Caenorhabditis elegans: one gene and its partner. The protein of the gene in region 1 interacts with the protein of each later gene in a biochemical or structural test. Each region holds a gene or a part of one and is shown in the gene's direction. Other genes may lie near its edges. The genes, in order: cye-1 and prom-1.

Region 1 (6,042 bases):
GACAGCTGGAAAAATAAACCGTGTTTTTTCTTCAATAAATATTTTTTATCAAGTTTTTATGAGTATATTTACTTTTCTTGGACTCTCTGTTAAAATTTCGAACATTCTTCTTATATTGCGCTCATAATTTTTTTTTAAATGTTAATGAAGAGAGCTATTTGCAGTAGACTATCTAAGCAATTTAATTGTTAATTTTTAATTTTTAGTGCCTTCGCTTATCTATTTTGTTTTTAATAGCCTGAATTTCCATTTCCCTAGAGGATCTCTCGAAAGTTTTGAAATTATTTGAGCAGCTACGGTAGATGCGACTTTCGTGCATTTACGCGTGGCGGTGTTCACACTGATCCCAAAAATTTTTGTTTGAAATAAATTGCTTTTTTTTCGCAATCTTTCATTCTTATTCATTGCTTTTCCGTTTACCATTTTCATACCATTTTCATCTGTTTTTTCCACTTTTAAAAATTCTTCTCGCATTTTATCAGTAGGCTCGGATATTTGTTCGTCTTTGACAAGATCTTCTGGTTTTTCATCAATTTCTAGTTGTATTTCTTCATCAATTTCCATTGGTTCAATATCATCATTCTCATCATCCTCATCTAACTCGCCGTCTTCTTTTCCAGAAGTTTCCGCTTGATCGTGAGCTAAATGCAATAATTTTCAAGATTTACGAGAAATATTTTTTTTTTCTTAAAAAAAATTTCAAACGAAATTTCAAAAAATTATTTAGAAGTTTTTGTTAATCATTGAAACAAATAACGTACCGTCATAAGTTGTTTGAAATTCGGGGGTTTCCTGCAACGGTGGAGGAAGAGGTGGGGGCGCTGAAATCGATGGTTTGTCTTCCGAATCGGACGGACTTTCATCGATCTGTAGACGACCCTCGTCCTCATCGTCTGACATGTTGCTGAAAATTTGAAAATTAAAATTTTACAAAAGATTTAATTAAAGCAATAATCAAATTTTTAAAATACAATTTGAAATGAGAGAAATTTTAAAAATAATAGATATAGTTTTGAAGGTTTTGATACTTGAAAAACGTTATCCTTATTTGGTAGCTTATGAAAACAAAACAAAAACAACTGCAAGATGTGTTTCGGATGTTTTTTCTTCATTCTCTCAATTGTCTGACATCTCCGGAGGCAGTTGCTGTGCCCTCTATTGGTACGTGTCGATTGCCTGCGTCTCTGTGTCAAGAGGCACCCTCTCATCTCTCTGGAGACGGCAGAGAAACATGAGATCGTGGTAAGACCATCAGGGAGGACGGCGGCAAATCGGAGGGAACGCGCGAAATGAGCGCGCGATTTGAATCTAGAGACCATATGACGGAGGTTGTCTGTAGTTGACCTTTTTCGGTTTTATCTGAACTTTCACAGATTGATTGCGTAATGTCCACTAGACATTCGTTATGGTATAATTGATATTTCTTTATTAATTTTCATTAAATATCAGATATCAATCTCTAAATTTCAAGCATAGAAAGTATCGTGCAAACATGAACAGTTTCATGAGCTCAGTTTATATTTTAAATTCACACCTAATTCAAATCTTAAATAATTTTTAATGGAATAACTGCAAATCTAAATCTAAAACCAAAACGACCTTCATTCACTTGTACCAAATCTTATCTGATTTTATGAATTTAAAATCTTATTCTTCTTCACCTCTGACTGATAGTTTATGTTCTCCCTATTGTGTACACTCAAAACTGCACAACATTTGTTATTTGAGCCAGTTTCAGTCGTTATCTTCCTATTTATTTGTTTTTGAATATTTTGAATAGCTCGACTTGATATTTTCAGGGAAATTTGATCAAAATGGCTGGAAGAAAGTCATCAAGGACGGCTGAACGTGTCCCCACTACACAAAAGCCAGAAAGAAAATCTGCTATTTTGTAAGTTGAATTTAGATGGATATTAGAGAACTGATAATTTTTAGACTTTATAAATATTTATTCATCTTTCGAAAAATTTTAATTTTCAGATCTCCACATGACGAACTGCGTGAACGTCTTCTGGAGACTGCAATTGATATGAAGGAAAATATTCCACAACGAAATACCCGAAATTCGAGCGTTGGAAGTCAGAAATCAGATTGTTCTGAGACAAGAAAACGACGAAGTACTAAGGTTTGTGTGCTTATCAGTGAACATTTTAAGATGGAACAAGGGAAATGAAATAGAGAGTGATAAGAAAAGTACTTTTTTAAATTATAATATTACTACTTGTACAAATGCCTAAAGAGATTTTTGCTTCTAATTTTTCGAAAACCGTAAGAAAAACTGTCAAACGATTGCGGATTGTTACTAAGCTGAATGGGGGTAAGGAATACATTTTAATTTGCCAACAAAATTAGCAAATATTTCTAGATTTAAACACATTTTGCTATATTTTCAGTTTTGAATTTAACTTATTTAGGTAACAGCATTCATCCAGAAACACAATGTCTAACAAATTAATTGAATTTCGTGGGTAACTAACTAACAGTCAAACGCTCAATATTGAGTAGTCTGGGTTCTACAGGAAACATCTCTCGTTAAATAATTTGCAAACAAAGTTTGCACTGAGAAACAGACACTTTGTATTTGACCAGTGTAATAGTGCGCCAAAATGTACTCATTCTCCCGTTTTCTTTTTTCTTCTCTCATCTCATGTTCACACCAGCACCTCAGATTTGCGAGAAAATAAGACGCAGACATCGATAGTCATAGTGACCAGTCTCTTTCGTATGCAGAACACAGTTTTGTGTCCGCTTTGTATGTCCAATACTTGTTTGCCGTCTGAGTCTCACTGTTCATCTGGGGGTATAGCTCAGTGGCAGAGCATTCGACTGCAGATCGAGAGGTCCCTGGTTCAACTCCGGGTGCCCCCTAAATACTTTTTGCATTTTGGCTTCTGCTTAGAATCATGACGATCAAATAAGTTTCCTAAATTTGAACAAAATTATATAGTGGTTCAATCTTGTTTGATAATTTATTAATTTTACAGGAAGGTCCAGCTGCAAAACGTCATTCGGGCGAGAAGCATCGAAATGGTAGCCGCGAAGATTCTTTGGAGTATATTAGTGGTAATCTAGTTTTATTAGAGTAAAAATGATATTCTGTTTGAAGAATATTCAGATGATCGTGAAGTTGGATCTTCATCATCACAATCATCAAGAACCCGTGGACAACCACTTCCAGCTATGCCTGAGGAAGAAGAAGTGTTTGATAAATCATCTTCATCTGATAATCTTGCCGAATCTGAAGAAAGTCATGAGATGGTCCGATTGGAAGAGAGACAGGATATTGAAGAAGAAATTGAGGATGATTTTGATGATGAAGAGGAGGATGTTGTTAACGATAAAGAGGAGTACGAAGAAATTGAATCTGAAGATGAAGATGGTTAGTTTCAAAAATACTCATGATGCGTTTGAAATTATTAGCATTTTAGATCAAAATTTGATAAAAAATAGTGTCTCCAAAGAGAGTATCAGTGTTTCAAGCTGAAAAACCTACCCAATTTTGATACAATTTAGATTATCCTGTCCAAAACGAAGGATTTGCCGTTACAAAACGGCTCATGAACGACGAACATATGGTTACGGCTCCAACGTTTCTCAGCACAGCAAAATGCGATGGAATAGGATCACCAACAAAAGTTTGGTCTCTTATGGTCAAACGAGACGAAATTCCACGTGCTACACGATTCTTGCTTGGAAATCATCCGGATATGGATGATGAAAAGCGACGTATTTTAATTGATTGGATGATGGAAGTGTGTGAATCAGAAAAATTGCACCGAGAAACATTTCATTTGGCTGTTGATTATGTTGATAGATATTTAGAGTCATCAAATGTTGAATGTTCAACGGATAATTTTCAATTGGTCGGGACGGCTGCTCTATTTATAGCTGCTAAATACGAGGTAACAATCAGGGGTTTCACTGACACATTTTTCGTTTTTTTTTTTTAGCAAAACCGAAAAAAATTCTAAAACACTTCAAAATCGATAGTTCTCAAACGGAATTAAATATTTATATTACGATTTACACCCTTTTTCAAAAATCCAAAAAAACCGGCAAGCCTGGTAATAATTTTAATAAAATATTTCACCGATCTAGAATTTGGGTTCAATTAATTTTTTCACAGTATAGATTCACATTAATTTTTGTTTTTTTTTTCAGGAAATTTATCCACCTAAGTGCATCGATTTTGCTCATCTCACCGATAGTGCATTCACCTGTGATAATATTCGAACTATGGAAGTTCTTATCGTCAAGTATATTGGGTGGAGTCTTGGGCCAATCACAAGTATTCAATGGCTCTCAACATATCTTCAATTACTCGGAACCGGCAAAGTAGGATTTTAAATTTTTTGTTGATTAAAATATTTTTTCAGAAGAACAAGTCTGATCACTACGAAGAGCAAAACATGTACGTGCCAGAATTACTCCGTTCAGAATATCTTGAAATGTGTAAAATTCTCGATTTTCTGCTATTTGAGATCGACTCATTTACTTTCTCCTATCGTACCATCGCTGCTGCTGTTCTTTTTGTCAACTATGAGCCAACTTGTGCTGTTGAGAAGGCTACCGGATTTATGCAGGCTCAACTTGAAAAAGTTATTGAATATGTTGAACCGGTGTGCCGGGCGTTCGCCAAACAACGACAACTTCTTGACGATGTTATTCCAAAACATGAATCAATAAAATCGGATGATTCACACAATATTCAAGTATACGTTAAAAGGAGTTCAATGGAACCTATTGTGGTAGGTGGATATATAAAATTCATGAATTAGAGGTTGTTTTCATAATTTTTATTTTTCCAGAAAAGCGAACGAGAGAGGATTCAGCATTTAAAAGCTCGCCGTCTTCATCCGCAACGACTTTTCTAAAATAACCCGCAATAGGATTCTTTTATCATCGAAATTTCTGTAGATTACTTACTTCAAATAATCATGCACACAGGTTGTCCCCGTTAATTCTTTCCTTCAATCTCTTTCTCTCTTTCACCTAGTCTGTGCCATTTCAATATGATTGCACCCCGGAAAATATCAAAAACTTCACTTAACAAGTGATCCCATATTACAAAAATATTCAAATTCCGAAAATCGAAAGATGCATTTCCGTTTTATTTTACCGAATTTTGATGTTTTTGTAATGTGTTTAAACCCCTTTTACAATTAACTTATTAATGTTTTGTTTTACTCATCTCACTTCCCCTTCTTACTTTGTGCTTATTTTATGTTTTAGGTTTTTTTATTGTATCATAAAACTGGAAATTTTGAAATAGGCTTCTTTCTCCCTAAACTTTTTTAACAGGTACTGTAACTGGTACATATCCTCTGCCCCACCCCGCTCCCAACTCGTCTTTGTCTGTTTGTTTATACGAAATACAATTTTTAACGAGTATGCGGGTTTCTGTTAGCTTCAACAATACGATCATTCAAATTTTAAAATTAAGAAACTATAAAAGCACAGTATTTACGTGAGTTGAAACAAAATGCCTTCTCCAAATTTCTTAACACTGAAAAATTTTCGGAAAAAAAGCAGAAATTACTCCGCAAAAAATTAAGGACATCATTCCAATATTTTTTTTTACTTATTTGATGAAAAATTAATATATTCCAATAAATTAAAATGAATTATCATCTCAGGAATACTGTAGAATTACTTTAAGATTTTGGCTTATTTATATTAAGTGGTACGGTAGGGGTACTGTAGGTGTATTGCAGAGTTGTAGACACTGTAAATGAAATTCCAAAGAGCATAAAATTTATCAAAAAAAAGTTTGCGTGAATTTCTAATTAATGTTTAATCTTCTTTTTTTGTTAAAATTTGTTCAGGGTTTCTTATCAAAAAATGAATCATTATTTAGTTTCTTGGCTAAAACACTACTCATCTTCGTAGTTTCTTGCCGTGATGTTTCAAGCTTTGTTAAGTAAGTTTGAGTGAATTTCTGGTTTTGGTGGAATTTATTCTGATATCGAAAGCTCTATGTCTATTCAATCAATTGATGAAAATGCGTAAATAGGGAACTATGCACACACGGCGGCTCAGACT
Region 2 (4,984 bases), 2.5 Mb from region 1:
TGATTCAAAATTTCTTCTTCTTGACATTGAGCAAGCATATTGAGAATGCAAGATGAATAGAATTGATCTTGATTTCTTCCTCTTTTGAATCCAGCACTAATCACTGCATCATTCTTATCAGTTAAAGCCTTCACAATATACATCAACGGTACATAAAAGATTTCCCGTCTGAATTGAAGTGCTAACTGCATAGTTCCAGTGTCCAAATAATGAAGAGTCATCATTACAGCCGTATGATTTTCCTTAACACTTCTCATCATAACTCCAAATTCCGAGAACAATTTTCCTTTCTCTTTGAATGTTTTTCTGATAATTGCGATTGGAAAGTTTCTTCGATTCGCGATCAGCAATCTAATCACTTTTTCTGATCCATTTACAATGAAATATCCTCCTTTTTCGATTGGCTCTTCACCGGCAACTACAAGTTCCTTTCGAGACATTCCACGGAGATGGCAACCTTCGGATCGGAGCATAATTGGTACCTAAATATTTTGTTGTATAGTATTTTCTTTTTCTAATATTTGCTTGGAGAATTCAGAAAATGAAAATTTAACCTCGAAACAAGTATTTTATTTCTTAACTTTTAACTTTTTCGAAGGAAGGTGACCCAATTCTTACTTTCAACGCAGTATTTATAGAATTACCTTTCCCAAAATAATTTCAATAATGTCCAACCGGCTTCCGTTCACATGGACATCGATTCCAACTTTTAAATTTCCAGCATATGTCAGTCCACGTTGTCGACATTCCGCGGGAAGTAAAGGAAGAGTGTCACTGGTGAGCTTCGCCTGAAAATTGATTTTTAGAATTTTCAATATTTAAGATTGCAGATCAAATACTTACTCCGGTATCTAGCGTTGGCTTATGAAGTTGAGCCGACGTGAACTTCATTGTAACAGCATCGCCGTTTTTCAGACGGAATTTTTCTGCAGGAACAGCTTGGGCAGCAAATTGACATCCTTTTGAAACAAGAAAATCGAATGAATCGACATGATACGACGCTATGTCGCAGTCCATCGCCTGAAAACTTGAAAGTTTAAATGAATAATTTTTCGAACTAATACAAATGTTATAATAAAATGAAAACTACATATTCAAATGTATTTGATTATTAAATAAAAGATTTAGGGGTTGGCGAGCAGTAAAAATTAGAAATGGAAGAGAAGGAGCGACAGCCACTGTTCAGTTCGGCCACAATTCGAGGGGAAAAGAGAGGGAAAAGAAAAATGAAGAGTTAGATGAAAACTAGACGATAACAGCCTGAACTTGATTATTTCTCCAATGATAAAGGAATACGAAAACTTTCATGAAACAAACTCAAAATAAGTATTGGGACATATTATACGAAAAAATCGCGAAAACGCAAATATTGGTTATAAATACATTTATTATGAACTTGCAAATAAAATTTAATCAAACAAATCGATGAGAAAACCGCAGGAAGTTATCGGCCCACTAAACGAACGTATTATTCAGAAAATAACGGCGGATTTTAACAGCCATGAAGTTAAGGAAACGATTTTGAGTTTCTGCAGCAGTTTAATTTATAAGGAATAAAATTTAAATGAACAAGTGCTTCAAAATAATCGATTAAAAAAGAGGAAAGTGAAGAAAAGTTCGAAAAGAACCGAAAAATCGATCGAAGCCAAAGAACGAATTAAAGGCGCATTGCTTTTGTCATATGGGTCTCGCCACGACTTTTATGGGTACTGTAGTGGGGGTGTGTTCAAATTTCAAATCAATTCGAATTCCCGCCTAAATGCGAGTGACCTATATTTTGCCTCATTTTTTTTTGTTTTTTCTTGTTTTTTTAGTTTTTGATCATTTATGTGAAATATTTTTAATGTCAAGTTCTTTCTGGTCTATTACTTGATAATATCAAGCCATTTTCAGAATCCAAAATGGATAAATCAACACCCAGGCGGACTTACAATTTGCGGAGTGCTGATCGAACAACACAAAACAGTCCAGTTTCCAGACAAAGTCTAGAAAATCATCGCAATGCTTCAGTGTCTCTAAGAAAAAGAAGTAGTACTTCTTCACTTCAACGCATTCAATCAGAGTTTACATTTACAGATTCAGCCACAGAGGAACGATGTTCTCGTAAAAGACGAAGAACACAGCAAACACATGGATTACCTTTTTCATCGCCAGATGCTATTAATCATCAACGAGCATTTCATCTCGATGAGCACAGTAAAAAAATCACAAGTATTCTCCAACATACATTTTTAATTCCAGAAGTATGTTCAAAGCTTACTACAAGATTGTCGATTGAGGTGGAGACGTCGTATGGAAGTTTCGGTAAACTACCTTATGATGCCGTCATCCACATATTGACAAGAACACCATGTATGTGGTAAAATATATTTAACTTGTAGAATTAATTATTCAGACAATCTTCTAAGTCGCATGGTAATGACATCTTCCTGCTGGAATCAAACAATCGGAGCATATATGAGAAGTGGAGCTTTTCGTCGTCGCTGGCTGTTAGACATTGACATTGCGCCAAGTTCTAAACCATTGGATCCCTTCTTTGATATGGGTCAGTAACATCAACGATTTGTCTCAAACTTTCTTGTTAATTTCAGGAAAACTCGTGAGGTGCCTGACGATAAATTATGAATGGAAAGCGAGGCTAGATTGTCTGAAATCGTTTATGACACTGGCGTACGAGTCAGGTGCTCTGATTGCCGGACTTGGCAAGATGATTCATGCGGTACTATTCGTTATGCCTTGATTATTTTGAAAAATTAATTTATCAGTTCACAAATCGCCCAGACGAAGACATTGTATTGGAGCAAATTGATGACATCGTTGCCATGCTCTTGGCGCTAGTTAGTGGTCTGAAAGATGACTTGAGTGCTGTTCTTTTCACCCCCGAAACGGATCGAGAGCTGGAAGAATTAGATAATATGCCAATTCTTCGCGAAGAGATGAAGGTTTGTATCTAGGAGAACATACATATTTTCCAGTTTTAAATATTAAATATTTTCAGTTGCGGAAAAAGACATTGAATTTGTTCTTGAATAATGGATCGTCGGACCCAGCTCATGGTGTTAATAAATATTTCTTGAGCAGTTTGATGAAAGTTTTCAAAACAGCGCATAATGCACTTCCGACTGCACTTTTCTACCTTCTGTTTTCTCCGACCACAATCCAAGATGATGAAGGTTTGACATACAATTCAGTGAATAATAATTTTTGGAGTTTCAGAAGTGATTCACTGGCATCGATTGTCTTTGTTATCCGTGGTAACTTCCGAAGAAGCTGAAGAGTTAAAACCGTTATCAAGAGCAATGTGTGCTCTGATACAGTGCAGAAACTTAAAACACGTGTTGCCTTGGTCAAAGAATACAATTTTCAATTTGATGGAAGAAATTACGAGTAAATTGGACTTCAATTATAGAATATAAGCATAAATATTCATTTTCAGCATATCCAAATCCATGGTCGATGAGCACATTTGTTGCACTTAACGTCCTGGAACCGGAGCTTGTTCCCATTGGTGTTGTTGCACGAATGAATCGTAATCACGAAGATGAAGCGGGTGATATAATTTGCACTATGAAGATGGTAAGTAAATGATTTTCTATACAAAAGTATTGTAAATTTCGTGAAATTTTAGCTTCTACATCGATGGGATATGGATGTCTATGGAGTAATGGAATCTATAATTGATACGATAAAAGCAGTGCTCAAACCATACCAACGTCGTATTCTTTTTGATCGTTGTTGGGATTGGCATCAACGAAACATTGACGAGCATCGAAATCAAATGGGACACTTTTCCGACATACGCGCCGAAATTGAGAGTCAAATTGAAGTTATGCCGGTATTGATGAAACTACTGTAATTAGTGAGAAAATTATTATATCAGTATATACATATCTTGTGTCATTCTCATGTGTATTGCCTTTTCCCCCCATTTTGTTCCTCCTTTCTACGTGTGAATGTCCCCTCAAAACATTATAGATATATTAGAGCTAGAGAAATATATTCCATTTTCAGATATTTATGATTTCTTCCCCCTTTAATTAAAACATAATCTGTTGGAAACTAATAACCATAGATGGTTTTCAAGCCATTCGGCTTTAAACGTTTCCTCCTTTTTAATAATCAAATCATTTTTCCCTTGATATATCCCCTCCATAGTGCCATCACTGTCTCTAAAATCTTGTCAAATTAAATTATCATGTGCCAAAAAAAGATTTTCTTCCATTTTACGGACGTTTGTTGATTTAAGAAGCATTACAATCAGAAGCGTTTAGTATGGTACAAAAAACGAATTCTCGATAGATTAATAGCAATAGAAGACTTGGGTCAACCGGCTAGAAACTGGTAAGTGATCTATGTGTGTTTTCACATGATTTTGAGAAAATCAATTTCAAAATGGGGTGTTGGGGGGATTGAACTGAAATATTTTCAGAGAATTATCGAGATTAGAGCAAGACAAACAAAATATATATAAATCCCAGAGAATTTCGAATGAGGGGAAGGGAGAGAGATTTTTTTTGATACTTTTCAATAGTATTAATTATTTAAACAAGAAATTAGGGGAAAATTGAAGAAAGAAGAATGGGAAAAGAAAATGAAAGAAAATATGTGTCCCGAATGAAGTGTAGTATTTGTGCATGTAAATTTACTAATTTCAATCGTGTATCACCGGTGGAATCTGAAAGTTTCAAATTTACACTATTATTTTATCAAGAAAATTTAAAAATATGAAATTTTCTACAAACCTTGTGAACACGCGGCTTTCCTCATGAACATCCATTTCAGTAGCTTTAAAATCATTTAATTCTTTTCGAATCATTGCTTTATCTGAAGGTGTCAGACGGGTCCATGGTTTATCCGTTTTACGGTCATAAACTTCCGCTTGTGTAACTTCAACATAATCCGCGAATTGAATTATTTGCTGTTCTTTTAGTTCTTTTATTGTAGGTCGGAAGCTTAGCTGAAAGTTATTAAATTTTTTTGAAAT

What was found.
Region 2: of the proteins of cye-1 (region 1) and prom-1, one has a biochemical effect on the other in vitro, tested with the Caenorhabditis elegans proteins (one study listed by BioGRID).

Annotation. Positions count from the first base shown.
Region 1 is NC_003279.8:6,779,007-6,785,048, forward strand, and holds cye-1 (G1/S-specific cyclin-E), read left to right. Parts: upstream 1-1,799; 5' UTR 1,800-1,814; coding exon 1,815-1,891; intron 1,892-1,980; coding exon 1,981-2,125; intron 2,126-2,796; exon of another isoform or gene 2,797-2,868; intron 2,869-2,984; coding exon 2,985-3,063; intron 3,064-3,106; coding exon 3,107-3,379; intron 3,380-3,513; coding exon 3,514-3,902; intron 3,903-4,161; coding exon 4,162-4,335; intron 4,336-4,376; coding exon 4,377-4,748; intron 4,749-4,808; coding exon 4,809-4,874; 3' UTR 4,875-5,390; downstream 5,391-6,042. Other genes in the region: pqn-21 (C2H2-type domain-containing protein), read right to left, coding at 1-5, 432-641, 762-900; acdh-5 (medium-chain acyl-CoA dehydrogenase), read left to right, coding at 5,902-5,920. UniProt on the Caenorhabditis elegans protein: Essential for the control of the cell cycle at the G1/S (start) transition. In association with cdk-2, regulates proliferation, quiescent state and cell fate during the development of several cell lineages.
Region 2 is NC_003279.8:9,285,546-9,290,529, forward strand, and holds prom-1 (FBXO47 ARM repeats region domain-containing protein), read left to right. Parts: upstream 1-1,897; 5' UTR 1,898-1,901; coding exon 1,902-2,028; intron 2,029-2,076; coding exon 2,077-2,196; intron 2,197-2,241; coding exon 2,242-2,352; intron 2,353-2,395; coding exon 2,396-2,545; intron 2,546-2,591; coding exon 2,592-2,719; intron 2,720-2,765; coding exon 2,766-2,942; intron 2,943-2,998; coding exon 2,999-3,173; intron 3,174-3,216; coding exon 3,217-3,387; intron 3,388-3,436; coding exon 3,437-3,576; intron 3,577-3,628; coding exon 3,629-3,856; 3' UTR 3,857-4,225; downstream 4,226-4,984. Other genes in the region: rpoa-2 (DNA-directed RNA polymerase I subunit RPA2 homolog), read right to left, coding at 1-482, 645-788, 844-1,017; phac-1 (Phosphatase and actin regulator 2), read right to left, coding at 4,663-4,675, 4,743-4,957.